Cricetulus griseus: one gene and its partners. The protein of the gene in region 1 purifies or fractionates together with the protein of each later gene. This does not show direct contact. Links are inferred from orthologs where the notes say so. Each region holds a gene or a part of one and is shown in the gene's direction. Other genes may lie near its edges.

Region 1 (6,764 bases):
GTGTACCAGGTGTCCATAGAGGGCACTGGGCATTGGATTCCCCTAAGACTGGAGTTTAAAAGGTTGTGAGCTGCCATGTAGGTACTGAGAATCAAACCTGGTCCTCTAGAAGAACAGTCAGTGCTCTCAACTGATGAGCTATCACCTCAGCCCCAACACTATTCTTTAATAAAGAAAGCACTTCTGGTTGTGCTAGACAATTTTTGTTTCCCAAGAAAGGTTCTCACTCTCTAGCCCAGGCTGGCCTTGAACCCAAGTTCAGTTCCCAGTACCCATACCCACCTGTAAGGCTAACTCCAGGGGATCTGACACCACGGGCCTCTAAAGGCACCTGAACTCAGGTGCACATATCCACACACAGGAGCACTAGTGCGCATATCCACACACACACACACACACACACACACACACACACACACACACACACACAATTAAAAAATTTTAATTAAACAAGTAGCTCAAACTGCAATCTGACCACCACAAATAGATGCCAATGACTATGAATAATTGTAGGACTCCAAGCCGGGTCCAAACATCTGCTCGCAGTCATCTACTGACCTTGGCTGCCCAGGGTGGAGGCAGCTGTGTGGTAAGTCTCACAGTCCACACAAAATGTTCCTTGTTTCTCTGCCCCAAGCATCTCCAATTTCCTGGTGAGGAGCTCCACCGTCTGCTGGACACTCTTGCCCTCAGCCACAGGCATCTGGGACACACTGAGAAACAGAACAGTCAGCAGTGTCCAGAGACAAACATGCTCTGGCTGAGCCACTCATTCCCAAATAGTTACCAGATCAACAGGACTAGGAGTTACTTTAGATAACACTAACTCTGATCCTGCCCCTTAAACTGAGAAAGGAAGAGGCCCACAGTCCAAGAGTTCCTTTAACAGGCAGAACACAGGTCTCAAGTGTCTCACACAGGGACATGGAACTTTCTACCACATCAGCATTCCCAAGTAAGGTACAAATACCAACATTAAGTGTTGATTCTAGGTAGCACACACTGCACACATTCAGTGTCACTGAGTTGTACAGTGGATGTGATTGATGGTTTACGTGCCAACATGACAGGACCTAGAAGCTTGGAGATAGGGTCTTACAATGCCGCCGAAGATGATCTGGAGTTCACTGAATTAGCCTGAGCTGATCTCACTCTTTTAGCAATCCTTCTGTCTCGGCCTCCCAGGTGCTGGAATTATAGGGGTATACTTGGCTGAGACCTATTTCTTAAACAAACTCCTGACCCTGTCTGTGAGATTCTTATTTAACTAAGGTGTGGATAAATCAGCTGAGTAGGACACCACACGTGCTCTCGCGCACGCGCACACACACCCAAACACACACACCCCCACACACCCCTACCTACCTCTTGACTATGGACATAATGTGACCAGCCACCTCATTCTATTTAAACTCAACTAGTGAGCCAAAATAAACCCTATCATAAGCTGCTTTTGTCAGGTATAGAGCCCCAGGAGGCTGGTGGATAATATTCTGGACATTGTGGACAGAACTTTCCCACTATCACAGAGTTCCATTTAAAGGCACTAAGAACAAAGAGAACGCATCCCTCGAGTGTATACGCCTAGAAAAAGAGACAATAGTCGTTTCAAGGACCAGTGAGCAATACATAAAACAGAAGAGTCACTAAACTGACACTGTGACAGAAACTCTGTGATTTTGAGAGAGTTGAACCGATACTAGTAGGAAGGGAAACCTTTTCTCTGTATAATGAACCCTAGGCAGGCAGGCATTGGTGGAGCACTCCTGTGATCCCAGGATGCAGGAGTCAGAGGCAGGTGATCGACAGCCCATAAAAACATATACAGAAATGTTTTATAGGGCCCAGTGACTCTGCTGTGATTTCTATTTTCACTGCTGACAGGTACTTTTTACGGTGTGATGAGGTTGAGATAAGGCTCCTGGTGTCAACTAATTTGCACGTATAGTAGTCACTAAAAACCCTGCAAGAGCCTGGGTTTCCTGAAGAACATCCCACACACACATTATACAGAACAGCTGGGAAGACACACACCACTACCAAGATTTTTTTTAACGTGCTGAAGCCTAGTACTTTGGAATTAATGCCCTGAAGAAAAGCACGGTGTCCAGACATTACCAATCACCTCTCTTTTTCCAAGTGAGATTTAAAACACGTTTCAGATAAAAAACAAAAAAAAACCCAAACCTGACTCAAACATGTAGGAAGTGATTCTTGGATAGTTAATGTGCCTGGAACCCCGACCTCCAAACCTCCAACAGCTCCTTTTCCTCTCCCTCTGACATTAGACCAAATTAAAGCCAGGCTATTATTACTGCAAGCAAAATGTAAAAGTCACTTTCTCCTAGAGCGCCCCCCTCTTTTTTATCGCTGCCTGCAAATAATTCTTAGTGCGAAAGCCTATTCCCAACTTTTAGGTCCTATTGGCGACAATACTATGGCCTGACGGACATGAAGAAGTACCAAGAAAAAGAAGGTACGACTCCTGACAGGTTCCTGGAATGAAGAGTTGGCTTTGCCAAAAGGATGCGCCTGGGAAGGAAGAAGCACCACACGGCGTCCCTTGCTGCAACACGACCCGAGGACATCTTTGTCAGCCCGCGAGGAACCGAGAGCTTCCGTCCCGATCCCCCTCCTGGGGCCTTCACGACCCCAAGCTCCGTCCCACAAGAGCCCCTGCAGTCCTACCAAGTCACTCCCATGGCGCAGGGTCAAAGGGGTGGCACTGCCAAACACTCGAAGTCAAGGGATCCAGAGGCCCCTGGAGGTAGAGCCGCCTAAAGCAGGATGCAGGCTCCGGAAATACGCAAAATCTGAGCGCCAGAGCGGTACACCCACAGAAGGGAGGCGTGCCCGGGCGCTCCAGCGATGAACGAATTCCGTCATCAGCCCGGCTCCGCCCCCAGGGCGCGCTTTGCTTTGACAGGACCTCTCAGGCTACATTCATGAATTCTGTCTGGAAAAGGTGACTTGGGACATCCACCCACTTCCGTACAATGAGATTACCTGAGAATCTGGGGAGTCCAGCTCCCGCCCCGGAGCTCCTGGAGAGATGGCGGTATATGAGGCACTTCCGGCCTCCGAACGCTGGGGGGCGCTGTGAACTCTCGGTGACCTCCCGAGCACCGGAACACAGGGCGCAGACACAGTCCTAGTTTTAAACCGGCTTCCCACGTGTGAGTAGCATCGGCAAGTTTTTCGAGAAAAATGCCCAAATTGAAGGTGGCCCGCGGGGCCCGGAATCAGGAGAAGCATGCACCTCTGGCCGAGCAGATTCTGGCTGGGAATGCAGTGCGCGCGGGGACCCGAGACAAGCGGCGGGGACGCGGGGTTGAAGAGGAGGAAGAGTATGTTGGACCCCGGCTGAGCAGACGCATTTTGCAGCAAGCCAGGCAACAGCAGGAGGAGCTCGAGACTGAACACGGGACTGCAGACCAGCCTGCAAAGCCACGGGAACGCGCCACGCGGCTGGGTGAGTGACACGGGCTGGAGTGGTGGCATGGGCCGGACTAGCTCAGTCCATCCGGATACGGGTTTGGAATTACAAAGAGGAGGCAGTTTTTCCTTCCCGCGTGGTCCTTCACTTCAACGCGTACCTTCTGGAACCTACCTCAGAGTTCCAACAGGAAGTAATCACTCACACCAAGTTCCAGTATTTATTCTCTGGGCTTGTGAAGTATGACTGTGTTTCCTGTGCAATGCTTTGAACTGTGTTAAGAGTTCAGGCAGTTCTAAGCCGGGCGGTGGTGGCACACACATTTAGTCCCAGCACTCGGGAGGCAGAGGCAGGCTGATCTCTGTGAGTTCGATCCACAGAGAAACACTGTCTTGAAACCCCCCCCCCCAATAAAAAAGAGTTTAGGCAGTTCTGATACCGAAATAAACAATGTACTCGTCCTTGCTTTTAGCACCGGAAGTCTACCCCAAGGCAGAGAATATTAAATAGAGTAACATATTCCAGCAATGAGCAGCGGTGCTCGCCTGTAATCCCAGCAGGTGAGAAGCTGAGGCAGAAGAAGGCCCTCGTGGACTACATAGTAAGGTCCAGATCAGCCTGATATACATGGTATACCTCTATCGATCGAGACAGTAAAAGAAAATGAATATATTCCTATTCAAAACAACAACAACAAACCCGCCATTAATTCAACAGGCCAGGCACCCCAGTTTTGTGCCCTGCCGACTAAGATATAAAAAACATGGGAAATGTTCCATTAACCGAGGCAGGAAAACAGTTTAGAATCGAGTGGGGGTGGGCGGCAGAGATGAGTGGGAAAGTACCTGATACTTGTCTCATTGGGAAGGTTGACCTCCAGTTTCTTAGTCTTGCCTTCTTATTCTAAAAGCAGTATTGAGATGATTGAATATGGCTTTAGGGCCATAGTAGCTTTACTTCCTTGTTTTGAGGTAGGGTCTCATTCCCAGGATGGCCTCAAACTCTGTATGTAGGTGAGGATGACCTTGAACTACTGATTTTTGCCTCTGTTTTTCCAACTGATGGCAATATAGATATTTGACACCACACCTGCCCTTAAATTTTTGTTTTTAAATTACGATACTGTGTCTCCTTAAGTTACTCATGCGGGACTTGAACTTGCTCTGTGACCAGAGCAGGCCTGAGTTTTAGGTTTTCCTGTGTTGCTGTCTGCAGATTCCGGTTTGAAACCATGCATTTGATGACTACTCCCAGCTTTTTCTCTCAGACATAGTTCTTTCAGTAAACTAACATCCCTATATCCACCTGTCTACCTGACATCTCACTGCTTGCTCCATGGAGTCTCTTAGCACATTAGCCTCCCCTTGCTCAAGGCTCCTCTTTCTCATTCTACATCAGGTTTGTCAGTAAACCCTGATGATTTGTGTCTTCAGGATATATCCACTTCCTTAGCTTGGAACATCCTCCTGTTTGAGTTCCCTTGAATCACTGTGGGAGCATCATCATTTACTGTTCTCTAACGTCTGTAATCCATTCGTCAGCTAGTGATCAGTGACAACCTGTTGGGTCCACCTCTGCTGACCAGATGCTAGGGAGGTGATGAGAAAATTCAGTTGGTGAAATACATGCTTTGGAAGCAAGAGCCCCTGACCTCAATACACAGCAGCTCGTAATCCCAGAACTAGGGGGTTGAAGACAGATTTCCTGGTCTACATAGTGAGCTCCAATCAGCCAGAGCTACACAGAGAAACCCTGTCTCGAAAAACAAACCAAAAAAAGGCACTTATTTTTTCAGAAAGACGAGAGTTTGGTTCCAAGTATTCACATGCCAGACCACTGCTATCTATAACTCCAATTCCAAGGGCTCATATGCCCTCTTCTGACCTCTTTGGGCACCAGGGACATTTATGACTCACAGGCATACACATAAAATAGTGTATATAAGTCTAAAACAAAATTAAAAAAAAAAACCAACAAAACATGGGTCTCGCTGGACATGCTCTGCGTACTCTCCTGAGCTATGTGTACCCTTAGTCCAATTCTGTTGCAAATGACCTGTTGTTATATAATATTTCAACTCCTTTGGTTTGTTAGACTCTTCCAGGGTCTTTGCCAGCTATGTGTGGTGTTTCAAAAGTCAGCCAGGTGTATTGGCACGTGACTTTAAATCTGAGCACTAAGGAAGCAGAGGCAGACAGATTTCTGTGAGCTTGAGCAAGTTCCATACCAGCCAAGGTTACATGGTCAGACCCTTGTCTCTCAAAAACAACAACAAAAACAAACAAACCAAGAGTTCAGTGTTAGAATTACAAACATGGACCACACTGTCTAACACTTGGGAGGTAGAGACAGAAGAACAGCCTCAGGGCAACACATAGACTAATAGAAATGGGTTAATTTCAATTAAAAAGCTAAGCAGAAACAAGCCTAAAGCTAAGGCCAAACATTCATAATTAGTAGTAAGACTATGTCATGATTTGGGCTCTGGCAGTCCCAAGAAAGCCTGCTGCTCCGAGTCTGTAACTTCACATGTATATATTGGTTGATTAGAAACCAAATACCGCTGCCTAGCCTTGGGGCCTTCCCGGTTGGATGTACTTTTCCTTTGTGGTCCTATGGTCCTATTTCTGGCTCTGGCTTCTTAATGCCCAACAGTAATATTAAAGTCCTTTTCTAGGATATGAGACACACACTTCTTCCCAAATTGCCCATTCAAAGCCTCATCACCCTCTGCAGTAATCTAAGTGCTTGTGTTGCACCCTGCCTCCACCATGGTTTTAGTTTTAGTACATGATGTAGCTCTGTTGTGCAAGAGGCATAGTGGGGAAGAAGGGAAGGTTAGGACGCGAACTGCCTGCTATGGGCACATCACTTTTCTGTCCCGGTTTGACCTGGGTACAGGGATAGTGCCCACTTCTTGAGGTTGCCTGGACTAACCAGGTTCCATGTGTGTACTATAGGACGGATCCTTCTAGATCACTGGAGACAGCGTGTCAACCATTATTTATTAGCATCACTCTGTTTCGCGTGTTGTATTTTATTGCTCAAGATTCCAAGTCTCTGGGGACAGAAAGATAGTTTGTAACTCTCTGTTCCTTCCTTGTGCACATGTGTATCTCCAGCACCCTGGGCATGCAGTCCATGGCAGAAGTGGACTGACTCAGAAGCCCCATGCTTATCATTTTGTCTTCCCTCTTTAGGTCTGGGAGTGCCCCAGGATGGAACCGACGATGAGGATGAGGAATGGCCCACCCTGGAAAAGGCAGCCAAAATGACCGGAGTGGACCACCAAGCAGAGGTGGTTGTGGACCCTGAAGATGAATGGGCC
Region 2 (6,246 bases), on another chromosome or scaffold:
CCAAATTAAATGCTTTTTAAATTCCTTTAAATTTTTTTCTTTTATTATCATTACGTTTGTTTTGTATTTTTTGAAACAGGGTTTCTTTGTGTAGCCGCCCTAGCTTTCCTGGAACTCACTTTGTAGATCAGGCTGGCCTAACCCACAGAGATCTGTCTGCTCCAGCCTCCCTAGTAATGGTATTAAAGGCATGCACCTGCATTGCAAGGCTTAAAGACAATTTTTATTTCTGGGCTGTCCTTTGCCCAGGGAAAGAACAGGAAGATGTACTTCACTGTGACATTTCTTTAGTGTTAGCTTGTTGAGTTTCCCAGTGATCCCTGGGTTGTTGTGATCTGGAAATGAATATTCTAGTAGTGAAACAGTAAGTGACTAAGCTCTTTCTTTCTCACCTTTAGCACTAGCTGTCCAGGGGCTTTCTGGCCTCCCACCAAAGAAACAAATAGATGCCAGAAAGAAGCTAAGTAAAACAGTGGAGAAACGCTTTCCCGAAGACAAACTTCTGTTGCTAGACACACAACAGGAGGCAGGAATGCTGCTTAGACAGCTGGCTAACCAGAAGCAACGCCATCTTGCTTTTCGAGATCGGAGAGCTTACTTGTTTGCCCATGTCGCTGACTTCGTGCCTAGTGAGGAGAGTAACTTAGTTGGCACTTTGAAAATCTCAGGCTATGTTCGTGGGAGGACTCTGAATGTAAATAGTTTGCTGCATGTTGTTGGACATGGTGATTTCCAAATGAGTCAGATAGATGCACCTGTGGACCCTTTCCCTTTAACTCCTAGAGTCATTAAATCTCAGAAGAAACAAAGCATGGCAATGGAGGTAAGATTGATGGGAATGGAACCAGGGCCTCAGCAGGCACTCTACTACTACTTGGCTATAGTCATTGCCCAAGATTGTTGTTTTTAACTCCCTCTTCCCCCACAGGGTTCCTCTGTGGCTTTGGAGCCTGCCCTGGCACTGGTTCTGTAGACCAGGCTGGTCTGAAACTCACTTAGATCCTCCTGCCTCTGTCCCCAAATGCTGGGATTAAAGGCATGTGGTTTTTTTTTGTTTGTTTTGTTTTGTTTTTTTTTTTTTTTTTTTTTTTTACAAAGCTTATTTTTTGTATGCCGACGAGGGTGCATATTACTGGTGTGGAGGGCAGGGACAATTTGCCAGGGTTTGGTTCTCTTCTACTTTGTGGGCCCAGAGGATTAGAATTAGGTCATTGGGTTTGGAGGCCCAGGCAGTTTTTTTGTTTTTTGTTTTTCAAGACAGGGTTTCTCTATGTAGCTCTGGCTGTCCTAGAACTTGGTCTATAGACCAGGCCAGCCTTCCAAGTATTGGGATTAAAGTTGATTAAAGTGATACCACTGCCTGACATTTTTTTTTTTTAAGAGTGTATATTTGTAAATTGGCACAGGATGGAAAAACAATTCTCTCTCTCTCTCTCTCTCTCTCTTTTTTTTTTTTCTTTTTTAAATTATTTTGGTTTTTCTAGACAGGATTTCTCTTTAGCTTTGGAGCCTGTCCTGGAATTCCTCCTCTGTAGACGAGGCAGGCCTTGAACTCACAGAGATCTGCCTGCCTCTGTCTCACTTGTGCTGGGATTAAAGATGTGTGCCACCACTGCCTGGCTGGAAAATTTAATTTTCAGAGAAGATAGTTTGCACACTTATTGGGCATGTACGACTGCTAGTTTGAAAGTAAGGCAATAGACAATTAGAACATGTTGATCAAGTGTATTTATCTAGTATTCTTTGGGGTTGGCTCTGCCTTCATGGCAGATGTTGCCTCTTCTCAGAATTTATTTGAATTATAAATCAAATTATCAAACACTTGTAAATTTAAAATTTACAGTAGCATATTCACAGTAGACCTGCTGTGGAAATTGAGAGTACACTAGCTAGCTACACAAGAGAGATCAGAGTCAGCCAAGTGTTCAGAAGAATGAGTTCCACAGAGGTGAAAGAATGTCTTGGGGACTATGGATCTAGGTATAGTGAAGGAGTAGAGGATTTCTTTGAACTTTTATTAATAAAAGACTGAACCTCAACTATGTAGCAGTGACTGTCCAGAGACTTAGTGTATAGAACAGGCTGGACTTAAATTTTGCAGAGAACAGTTTGCCTCTGCCAATTGAATGTTGAGATAAAAGGTGTGCACTACCATGCTGGGAGGGAGCAGTTTGGTTGAAATGGAAAATTCCAGCATTTGGGAGGCAGAGGCAGGTGGATCTCTTAAGTTCTAGGCCAGCCTGGTCTGCAGAGAGGGTTTTAGGACAGCCAAGGCTGCACAAAGAGACCTTGTCTTAAAACACAATCAAAAGGGGGAAGGGTATAATAAGCAGGTGGGAGAGGTCAGGTTTTCTTAGAAACAGTCTCAAGAGTTATGCAGGTGAACACAGTTGAAATGCTAGGAGATGCCCATTTGGAAATTTTGGTATGTTTTGATTTTCTGTTTAATTTGTGGATCTTTCAAGTTATTATTAGATTTATCAGATTTTAGTTAATGTCTGACAGGCCATTACCTGATTTTGGTTTTTAGATTTGTGCAGCAGATACTACAGCTGACATGGAAGAAGACCTTAAGGTTCTGATGAAGGCAGACCCTGACCAACAGGAGTCTTTACAAACAGAAGCTGTTCTAGATCCAATGGAAGGGGAGCAAACCTGGCCCACTGAGGAGGAACTGAATGAGGCAAATGGTCAGTGATAGCAAACATGTTGAATAGTTCTTGCTCACTGCTTGCTTATAAGGCTGGATGAGGAAGTGATTGAAGTTCAAATACTAGAGCTCTGCTTTCTCTCTCAAAATCACTCTAGGCTTGTCTTTTTAAACAATAAATGATAGTAGTCTACTGCAGGGATTTTTTTAGCTGTATATTTGTTGCTAACTGGGGCAGCTGAATTAAATTTGGAAGCCTTCTGTTCTCATGTAGCTGTTATTTTCTCATGTTGGTAGCAGTGTCTGCATAAGTGAGAATACAGAAAGTATAATTAATATATAAAATACTTAATTGTTTGGGTTTTACAGACTTATTGAAGCAACGTTCTAGGGTGGTAAAGAAGGTCCCTAAAGGAACATCCAATTACCAAGCTGAATGGATTTTGGATGAAGGTGATGAAAGTGACGAGGAAGGTGATGAATATGATGATGATACACAACATGAAGGGTTAATGGAAGAGGAATCTCAGGTAAGAAAACAGGCCATTGGGATGGACAGACGGGGCGCGCGCGCACGCACACACACACGCGCGCGCGCACACACACACACACACACACACACACACACACACACACACACACACACACCACCCACCACACTCCAAAAACATGGCTGTGTGAAGTCATCTGCTTAATTATGGAAAGGATATGTTTGTTTGTTTTGTTTTTTGAGACAGGGTTTCTCTGTGGCTTTGGAAGCTATCCTGGCATTTGATCTGTAGACCAGACTGGCCTCGAACTCACAGAGATCCACCTACCTCTGCCTCCTAAGTGCTAGGATAAAAGTCCTGTATCATTACTACACCCAGTGCTCTAGAGGGTGTGTGTGTGTGTGGGGGGGGGGGTTAGGAACAAACTTGCTGGAGTCGTTCTCCTTTTCCACTATTTGGGTCCCTGTATAGAAATCAACTGCCTTTCCTCACTGAGCCACCTTGTTGGTGCTATGATTTTCTTTTTTGGGTTGTCAGGGGTGGGGGAATATAGTCTTATGCATCTCAGGCTTGTCTAGAACTCTAGCTGAAGCGGTGTGGATACTGTTTGCAGGCGTGTGGAATCTGCCCAACTTTAGGTAGCACTGGGGATCTAACCGAGAGCTTTATGTGTGTCAGGAAGGCACTTCTACCAGTGGAGCTACGTCCTCTTCCCTTTTCGGGCTTGTTACTTTTTTTTCTTTTATTTTTGGAGACAGGGTTTCTCTGTGAAACAGTCTTGCCAATAAACTCATAGTGAATCTCCTGCCTCAGCTTCCTAAATCCCAAGACTAAAGTGTGTTTCATGATGCATATTTGCAATTCCCCATTCATTTTACAGGATGAGAGTAGTGAGGAAGAGGAGGAGTGTGAAACTATGACTCTAGGGGAGTCTGTGCATGATGATCTCTACGATGAGCAAGTAGATGAAGAGGCTGAGGAGAGAATGTTGGAGAAATACAAACAAGAAAGATTGGAAGAGATGTTTCCAGATGAAATGGATACCCCCCGTGATGTGGCTGCTAGAACTCGGTTAGTCAGCAAGTGATTTCAGACAAGTTTTATTTGAAAAATTTTCATGGTTTAGAATTATTCGAGTAGGATGCAAATGGGAAAAACACATTGTCCTTTTTTCTTGAAGGGCAAGCATGCTACAGGAGAAGCAGCAACATATAGTCAAGGTATAGATTTGTTCAGAGTGAAACAGACATACCTAGTTTAATTAGCAAATATTCCTTGCAGGAGTAAGTGCTCAGAAATATGGATTTGGGAGGTGAAAGTACATATTTTGAAATGAAGCTTATAAAAGTAAAAGTAATAAAACGTAGTTGATTTTTCTGGATGTAAGCCTGACTAAAAGCCAGTATCAGTGTTGGGTACGAGAGTGGTAAGGCAGGTTGAAGAGCTGTATTCCATAACAGGCACTATAAATTCTTTGTCCCCTGTGAAAAGTCTGGGTTGATTTTGAAATAGTTATTAGAAGCTGTTGTAGGACATGGTTTTTGCTAAAGCTATTAGTTTGTAGTTTGTTTGAAAGATAGGGTCTCATGTGGATCAGGCTATTATGGATCTTCTGCCTCCACTTCCCAAGTGTTGGGTTATAGGTGTATATTTCCATGCCCATGTGTAGCTCATTAGGGTATTTTGAATGCCTAGTGAGTAATTTTGTTTCTTGAGCCAGTTTTGCTTTGTAGCTCAGGCAGACATGAAACACATGGTGTACCCCAACCTTCCCAGTAGATTAGAGCCACACTTAAAGCCTTGTTAGGTTTGTTGTGTACTAGAGGTAAGCATTTTACCACTGACTTACATTCTTAGATAAGAGTAATTTTAAAAAGTGAGAGCCTTGACTATTTTAGAAGTGAGGTGAGTCTTATATAGCACCATCTAACCACTTACTTTCTTAGATTTCAGAAATATAGAGGCCTCAAGAGCTTCAGGACATCTCCTTGGGACCCCAAGGAAAACCTTCCTCGAGATTATGCTCGGATCTTCCAGTTTCAGAATTTTATTAATACTAGAAAAAGAATCTTTAAAGAGATTGAGGAAAAAGAAGCTGAAGGAGCCGAGGTACCTGCCATCTTGTCTACCTTATAATTTGTTTTTGACACAATGCTACTTGTTTGGGAACAAAGGGATTTGAGATAATTAACTGAGAAGGTTGAATCTGGGTGGTTGGCACACCCATGAATGATGAGGCCTGGCATGTATTTCGAGAAAGTTTCGTCACTATTGGGACATTAAAGGTAACCCTGGTGATTGTCTATGCTTTGGCAGGTTGGCTGGTATGTCACACTTCATGTCGCAGACGTCCCTGTCTCGGTGGTTGAGTATTTCAGGCAAGGAGCACCCTTGATTGCATTTTCTTTACTACCTTATGAACAGAAGGTAAATCAGTGTTTTGTGAGGAATGAAGAGTTGTACATATTTTTCCAACATTTTGTTCTCTTGTGGAAGGCTACGTTTTTGATTCTGGGAGTCAGAATGGAGAAGTCAATGATGGTTATACCCAAGATGTCTGAACCTGTCTGAAGCATCTCAGTGATGCAGTCTGTGGTTCTGAGACTTCCCTACCTACTTTTTTTTTTTTTTTTTTTTTTTTTTGTCCAGATCAGAACACTAGTAGTCTTAAAAGTAAATGTTTGTGCCAGTGTGGAGACCTGTTCTCTAGGTGACCTGTAGTCATGCCCACTGGGAGTGGGACAGCTGGTATAAAGGTGGTGGAGGCTGAGAGGAGTGTATGTGGTTAATCAGGTGATGTGAAGGTCATTCACCATGGCTTAGCTTCTATAATGTTACATGTGGATCGATCAGTAAGCTAGCTTGGCTAAGCTAGCTTAGACATTGCATGGAAGCACTGACAAGGCCTGTATGAACCTGCAAAGTCAGTTGGTTGTTGGGTAAAAAGGACTATTTATTATGACATCATGTCATTAACTAGCATGGTTAGCCTTTCAGGGTAGGCTGTTGTATGCCTAGACTATGAAGCTTTTTCTTATTTGGTCCTCAGATGTCAGTATTGAACATGGTAGTGAGTCGGAACCCTGGCAACACAGAACCTGTAAA
Region 3 (5,601 bases), on another chromosome or scaffold:
CCAGTCAGCCACTGTTCTGCTTTTGCCATTTTCAGAAACTTGTAAATGGATGCCCAGTGTGTATTCATTTAGTATATTGCTTTGAGCTTCTTCATTTTGTTGGGTACAACAGTATTTCCACTCCCTTGCCCTTTTTTTTTCTTTTAAATAGCCAAATAGCATTCTAATTACAGTTGATAGACATCGGGGATATTTCATTTTGGAGCTATTATGACCAATGCTGGTGTAAAGTACTTTTTATATCTTTTGTTCAATTTTGAATTAGATTTAAGATGTAACAGTAATGTTTTTTGTTTTTCGAGACAGGGTTTCTCTGTGTAGCTTTGGAGCCTATCCTGGCACTCGCTCTGGAGACCAGGCTGGCTTTGAACTCACAGAGATCGGCCTGCCTCAGTGCTGGGATTAAAGGTGTGCGCCACCAACGCCTGGCTATCATGTAACAGTAATTTTTGTTGTTGTTACATTTAGAAATTTTTTTGAAATTATAATTACATTTCTCCTTTTCTATCAAATCCTATCATATACCCTTCTTTTTCAAACTCATGGCCCTTTTTTTTATTGTTATTGCCTGCATATATGTATATACTATATATTCCTAAATATAAACTGCTCAGTCTGCTTAATGTTACTTGTATGTATGTTTTCAGAGCTGACCATTTGGTATTGGATAACCAGTTGGTGTGCTCTTCCCTGGAGAAGATTTTTTTCTGCTCCCAGTATTCCTGTTGCTTGTAGTTCTTTTTATAGGGTTGAGGCCTCTTGGTATCTACTTTGGTATGCCCGTTGGTGTTATCCTTGTTCAGCTCATGATTGGGCAGTCATGTTGGTGAGACTTTATGAGTGTCGTTTCTGATGTTGGTACACACAGTCTCACAGCAAACCTCTGATCCTGTAGCTCTTGCATGTTTCTACCTTCTTATCCAAAATTTCCCGTGAGCCTTAGCTGTGGGAGGTTTGTAGATGTATCCGTTGGGACTGGGCTCCACAACTCTACATATTGGTAGATAGTGGTCTCTGTTTATTGCAAAGAGAACTTTCCTTTATGAGGGGGTGAAGACTACACTTACCAGGCTAGACCCAGAGGAGGACATCTGGTATTTTTATGAAGTTGCTAATAACTTGGCAATACACAGAATAATGTGAGCAAGATACAAAATAAAGGACAATTTTCTGTCTAGATATATTTAAAATACCAAAGGGGAGAGAATGTTGCTTATGTTTAGTGACACTTTTTATGCACTTTTTAGTACCTGCCTCGTTCCTGCTGGAATTCTGATAAATTTGTCTTTTTGATAATTTTTTGTGGGGATATAGAATTCCTATATCACAAGTCACTCATTTTTGAAGTGGTTTTAGAAGATTATAAAGTTGTCAGCCATCACCCTGTGCCCTCAGTTTAGAATTTAGATCTATTTTCATTTCCAGAGTTTTTAGTTCCCCAGATGTGGCACGAACATGCCATTTGTGGCTAACCTGACTCACTTACTTCTTTCAGGAAAGTTCACATTCTCGGCTCTTTCCAAAATATCAAGATGGCGAGGACTGCCATCTGCAACCTCATCCTAGGTAATAGCAGTTTATTTCTTTGGTATTTTTCTCTGATTAGGGAATGGAGGAATTTAGGCCATATTTACAAAGCTACTTTCATATTGTTAAGATACCCAGCAGAAGTCGAAGAGTTGGTGAAGGGAAAAACAGGAATATTTTACTTAGATTCCATTGGTTAGAGAAGAGAAAGGGTTTATTGGGTAATATCAAAATCTCTGTTGCTTTCCCTAAGGAGTACATAGAAAAGCCATTCCAAAATAAGAACATTTTAGGCTCTACAGAATGGGGGATGCTGAACGCATGCAGTCAACTTGATTTAATTTGATCTAGTTCTAGAGTCATAGCAACTTTCTCAGAGGACTAGGGGGTTTTCTCTGGTGTTCAGGACTGGCTGGCTAGCTTCTTTGTGAAATACTGTTTTTACAACTTTGACTTCTCTTAGGAATGCAAAGTATTTGTCTTCTATGTAGTTCTCCATGTTTGAATATATTTGTATATATAAGCTGTTTTTTTCTTGAACAGGAAATCCTCCATCAAAGGTTTATGGCAATATCCGAGCTGTGGCCAGCAGATCAGCGGACCGGTTCTGATTCCCCTTGACCCTTGAGATGTTCACAGAAAACCATGGGAAGATTTCCCAGCCACCTACTGCTCAGGTTCCTTTTCAGGTCTCAGCCCAAGCAGAAGCAGAAAGGGAAGGTTTAACAGGACTTGCACTCCCCTGCTTCTAGAATAATTTAAATATGAAAATGTAATGCTGTTAATTCTTAACACATTGAGTGTAAATTGCTGCTGTCTTTTTCACACAGAGTCAGACTCACAGTTTAAAATCCTGTCATTTAGAGGCAGCTTCTTAAGACAGATTTGTAACTAAACTTACAAGCATTTTTTCTCTGAAAATTTTAATTAAAATCTCCACCTGTGAATCACAGTCTTTGGTACAGGGCACTGTGACTGCTTCAGGGTTGGGGCATAACATTAGTCTGCACTATTGAACCTAATGTGTTCATCTTTACACTCAGTGCAGTTTATGAAATGAAAGCCCTGCACCACAAGGCTAATGAATTACTTTACAAATAAGTAATAAAAGTAAAACTGTTTTCCAAACAGTATATTCTTGTAACTAGTGTCTGTGTATATGAATTTGCTTATTTCTTATATTGTTTAGAACCTATTTCATTAAACATGAGATTTAGATACTACAGTCTCTTTTGTTTCTCAATGACCTTGACCAAAATATTGTAATGATTGGAGTATCAGGAAATTCATGCAATAACCAAATGAAGTAGTAGTTTTAAATTTTTAACTTTTTAAGAGTTGCTAAATACTTATGAGTGTTTTATGCATCTAGGTATGTGCATCATGTATGCACCTGGTACCCTAAGAATAGAGAATCTGATCCCTTAAGTGGAGTCATCAGATAAGGTTGCGAGTCACCATGTTTTCTGCAAGCAAGTCTGAGAGGTCAGCAAGTGCTCTTAACCATTGAGCCGTCTCTCCAGCTCCTCTTGATTTTTGAGACAGGATATGTAGCTAGTCCAAGCTGGCTGTAACTGTCTAGCCCCACTTGCCTCAAACTTGGGACAGTCTCCTGCCTCAATATACCATGTGCCAGGGTTACAACTGTGTGCTATCATGCCCTGTTTAGTAGTATTTTTGTTAAGCTTGGGTTCCCTATTATCAGTGGGAAGTGCTAACTGTCCTAGCTGCTTTGTACCTTGCTCATGCTGTCTACCAACAGGAAATTGCTGGAGTGTTCCCCCAAAGGACAGAATGTTCAATATTATCAAACCTCATTAAAAAGAACTTGTTGGGAATTCTTTATTCTGAAATCTATAGAGCATTTAGGAGGTACAAATCCACTCTCAGTCTGCTCAGTGAGGGGATTAAAAATTGTGATGACATCTACCATTTGCCTTTCTGGGAAATGATGTCTATGGTTTTAATGCTTTTTTTAAGAGTCAAAAGTGACTAGATAACAGTATTTGGGATTTAATTATAAGAAACTGAAGCAGAGTTAAGAACGTAATTTTTGCCTTAGAAAGTTTGAGATTCTATGTTAAAGTACAATGTTTGCATTTCTCCTTCCAAGTACTACTGAGAGAAAGATAGAATGAGAGGGAAGGGGGGGAGGGAGAGAGAGAGCGTGGGAGAGAGAGAGAGAGAGAGAGAGAGAGAGAGAGAGAGAGAGAGAAAGGTTGCTGGTAGTTAAATCTAACAACCTGGACTAAATCACTACTCCCTTAACATCTCCAGTGCCATTATACTACAGCCAATCTGAAACCTGTTTCTGTGGCACTGCCGTGCTGTAAGGCCAAGTGGTCTCTTGGATAGATACTATTACAACTCCAACTTTATTTTACTTATTTATTAACACATTGTCTGAGTTAAAAGAAAAGTGAGTTTCATAGGTAAAGCTATGGTCCAACTGGGGGATTCCACAAGATTTGGGCTTGTGCCTGCCTAGCACTAGTGATAAGGATGAAGGTTAATGATTGTTGAGCATGTGGGGACAGACTCAATTGTACTCTTCCAAGAGCCAGGTTATGATTGGAGCAACACACTTCTGTTACATTATAGCCAATCTGAAATGCAAAGGACCAGTCACGTGCAAAGGACTTGTCTTGGGAAAGCACTGCTTATTTGGCCAAAGAAATCACAATCTCCAGGAACTCAAGCCATTTGGATTGGTTAGCTGATAGGGAAGGGAAAGGTCGCAAGAGGACTCAGCAGCTCTACAGCAACGTGAATCTGATGTGGGGGAGTTTTTGAGCACTTAATGATGAATATTCAAGACATGAGCTTGAACACCATTTTCTTTGTACACCCTGGGAACTATCTAGAAACTACCATCTTGTCTACATCATTCTAAAATATTCCACACATTAAAGAATTCTTTTTGAGGTCTAGAGAGATGGCTCAGCAGTTACAAGCACTAACTGCTCTTCCAGAGGACCCAGGTTCAATTCCCAGTACCCACATAGCAGCCCATGCCTTCCAGTTTCAGGGGACCACAGCAAAACACCAATGCACATAAAAAATAATATAAAATTCTTTTTTGGAAATACAGCTTTCCATGTTAACCATTGTATTATGAATACAACTTAGTAACTATTTAATGTGAAGCCATCACATTTTCTGTCTTCTGAACCTCTGTACAAGTTTTTAAAAGATTTCCATTTCTTCCTGTTGTCCTTGGCACAAACTATTCTGCATTTGTCTCTAGGAATTTTATTATCCCGTTGATGTAAAAGTGGAGCTTTTCCCATAACAAGACTTATCCATGTTACATAATGTGTTAGAATTTTCTTTCCTGTTGTACAGTGTATACCTTGTTTACCCATTCACCTCCACAATACTTGGACTGCTTTCAGCCTTTAGCTGTTGTAATGCTGCCATGAACTGAATCCTTGTGTGTTCACTAGTAACAAAGGAGGTAGCCAATACTGATACTGTTTTTCTTTGAGAGGCAAGCAAGAGCAGTAGTAACAGCCTAATGCTTGTGAAGTGGCTCTCACTGTGACTTGCATTTCCTTAATGACAGTGATATTGAGCATCATTTCCTGTGGTTAGTGGCCACCTGAATATCTCCACCGTCTATTTCAAGTCCTTTATCCATATTTTAATGAGGATTTCATTGCAGTTGTATAGACCTTCAGATTTGATTATTAATCCCTTTTTTCCTGAATGGTTTACAAGTATTTTCTCCTTTTTAAAGAGTTTCCATGTCTCAATAGTCATTTTCTTAAGCGCTTTCTTTTTGGGTCCTCTATAGGAGCTCACAATTTTGAAACCTGTGATTATGTAATATGTATGTTCTGGGTATAAATATACCCAACATCCCACAACTCATTTGGATAAGCAACATCATTTACCTTTCAGTGCTGAACACAAGCATTCTACAGTAATCCCAAAAATACATTGGGCATGGTGGTGCAGGCTTTTAATCCATCCCAGCACTGGGGAGGCAGAGGCAAGGGGATCTCCTGAGTCCTAGACCAGCTTGGTCTACAAAACAAGTCCTGGGACAGCCAGTGCTACACAGAGAAATTG

The links.
Region 2: the proteins of bystin (region 1) and Tsr1 purify together in Homo sapiens (affinity purification with mass spectrometry; 3 studies listed by BioGRID and IntAct, counting the BioPlex papers as one, with this or other methods). This does not show direct contact. The link is inferred for Cricetulus griseus from reciprocal best matches to the Homo sapiens genes BYSL and TSR1.
Region 3: the proteins of bystin (region 1) and Pno1 fractionate together in Homo sapiens (co-fractionation; 4 studies listed by BioGRID and IntAct, with this or other methods). This does not show direct contact. The link is inferred for Cricetulus griseus from reciprocal best matches to the Homo sapiens genes BYSL and PNO1.

The regions. Positions count from the first base shown.
Region 1 is NW_023276806.1:255,578,054-255,584,817, forward strand, and holds the start of bystin, read left to right. Parts: upstream 1-3,111; 5' UTR 3,112-3,207; coding exon 3,208-3,472; intron 3,473-6,636; coding exon 6,637-6,764. Other genes in the region: mediator of RNA polymerase II transcription subunit 20, read right to left, coding at 559-713, 2,689-2,702. UniProt on the Homo sapiens protein: Required for processing of 20S pre-rRNA precursor and biogenesis of 40S ribosomal subunits. May be required for trophinin-dependent regulation of cell adhesion during implantation of human embryos.
Region 2 is NC_048600.1:88,351,089-88,357,334, forward strand, and holds part of Tsr1 (pre-rRNA-processing protein TSR1 homolog), read left to right. Parts: intron 1-398; coding exon 399-823; intron 824-2,530; coding exon 2,531-2,690; intron 2,691-3,019; coding exon 3,020-3,180; intron 3,181-4,021; coding exon 4,022-4,212; intron 4,213-4,225; exon of another isoform or gene 4,226-5,087; coding exon 5,088-5,250; exon of another isoform or gene 5,251-5,457; coding exon 5,458-5,568; exon of another isoform or gene 5,569-6,190; coding exon 6,191-6,246. UniProt on the Homo sapiens protein: Required during maturation of the 40S ribosomal subunit in the nucleolus.
Region 3 is NW_023276807.1:89,076,046-89,081,646, forward strand, and holds the end of Pno1 (RNA-binding protein PNO1), read left to right. Parts: intron 1-1,495; coding exon 1,496-1,566; intron 1,567-2,070; coding exon 2,071-2,138; 3' UTR 2,139-3,365; downstream 3,366-5,601. UniProt on the Homo sapiens protein: Part of the small subunit (SSU) processome, first precursor of the small eukaryotic ribosomal subunit.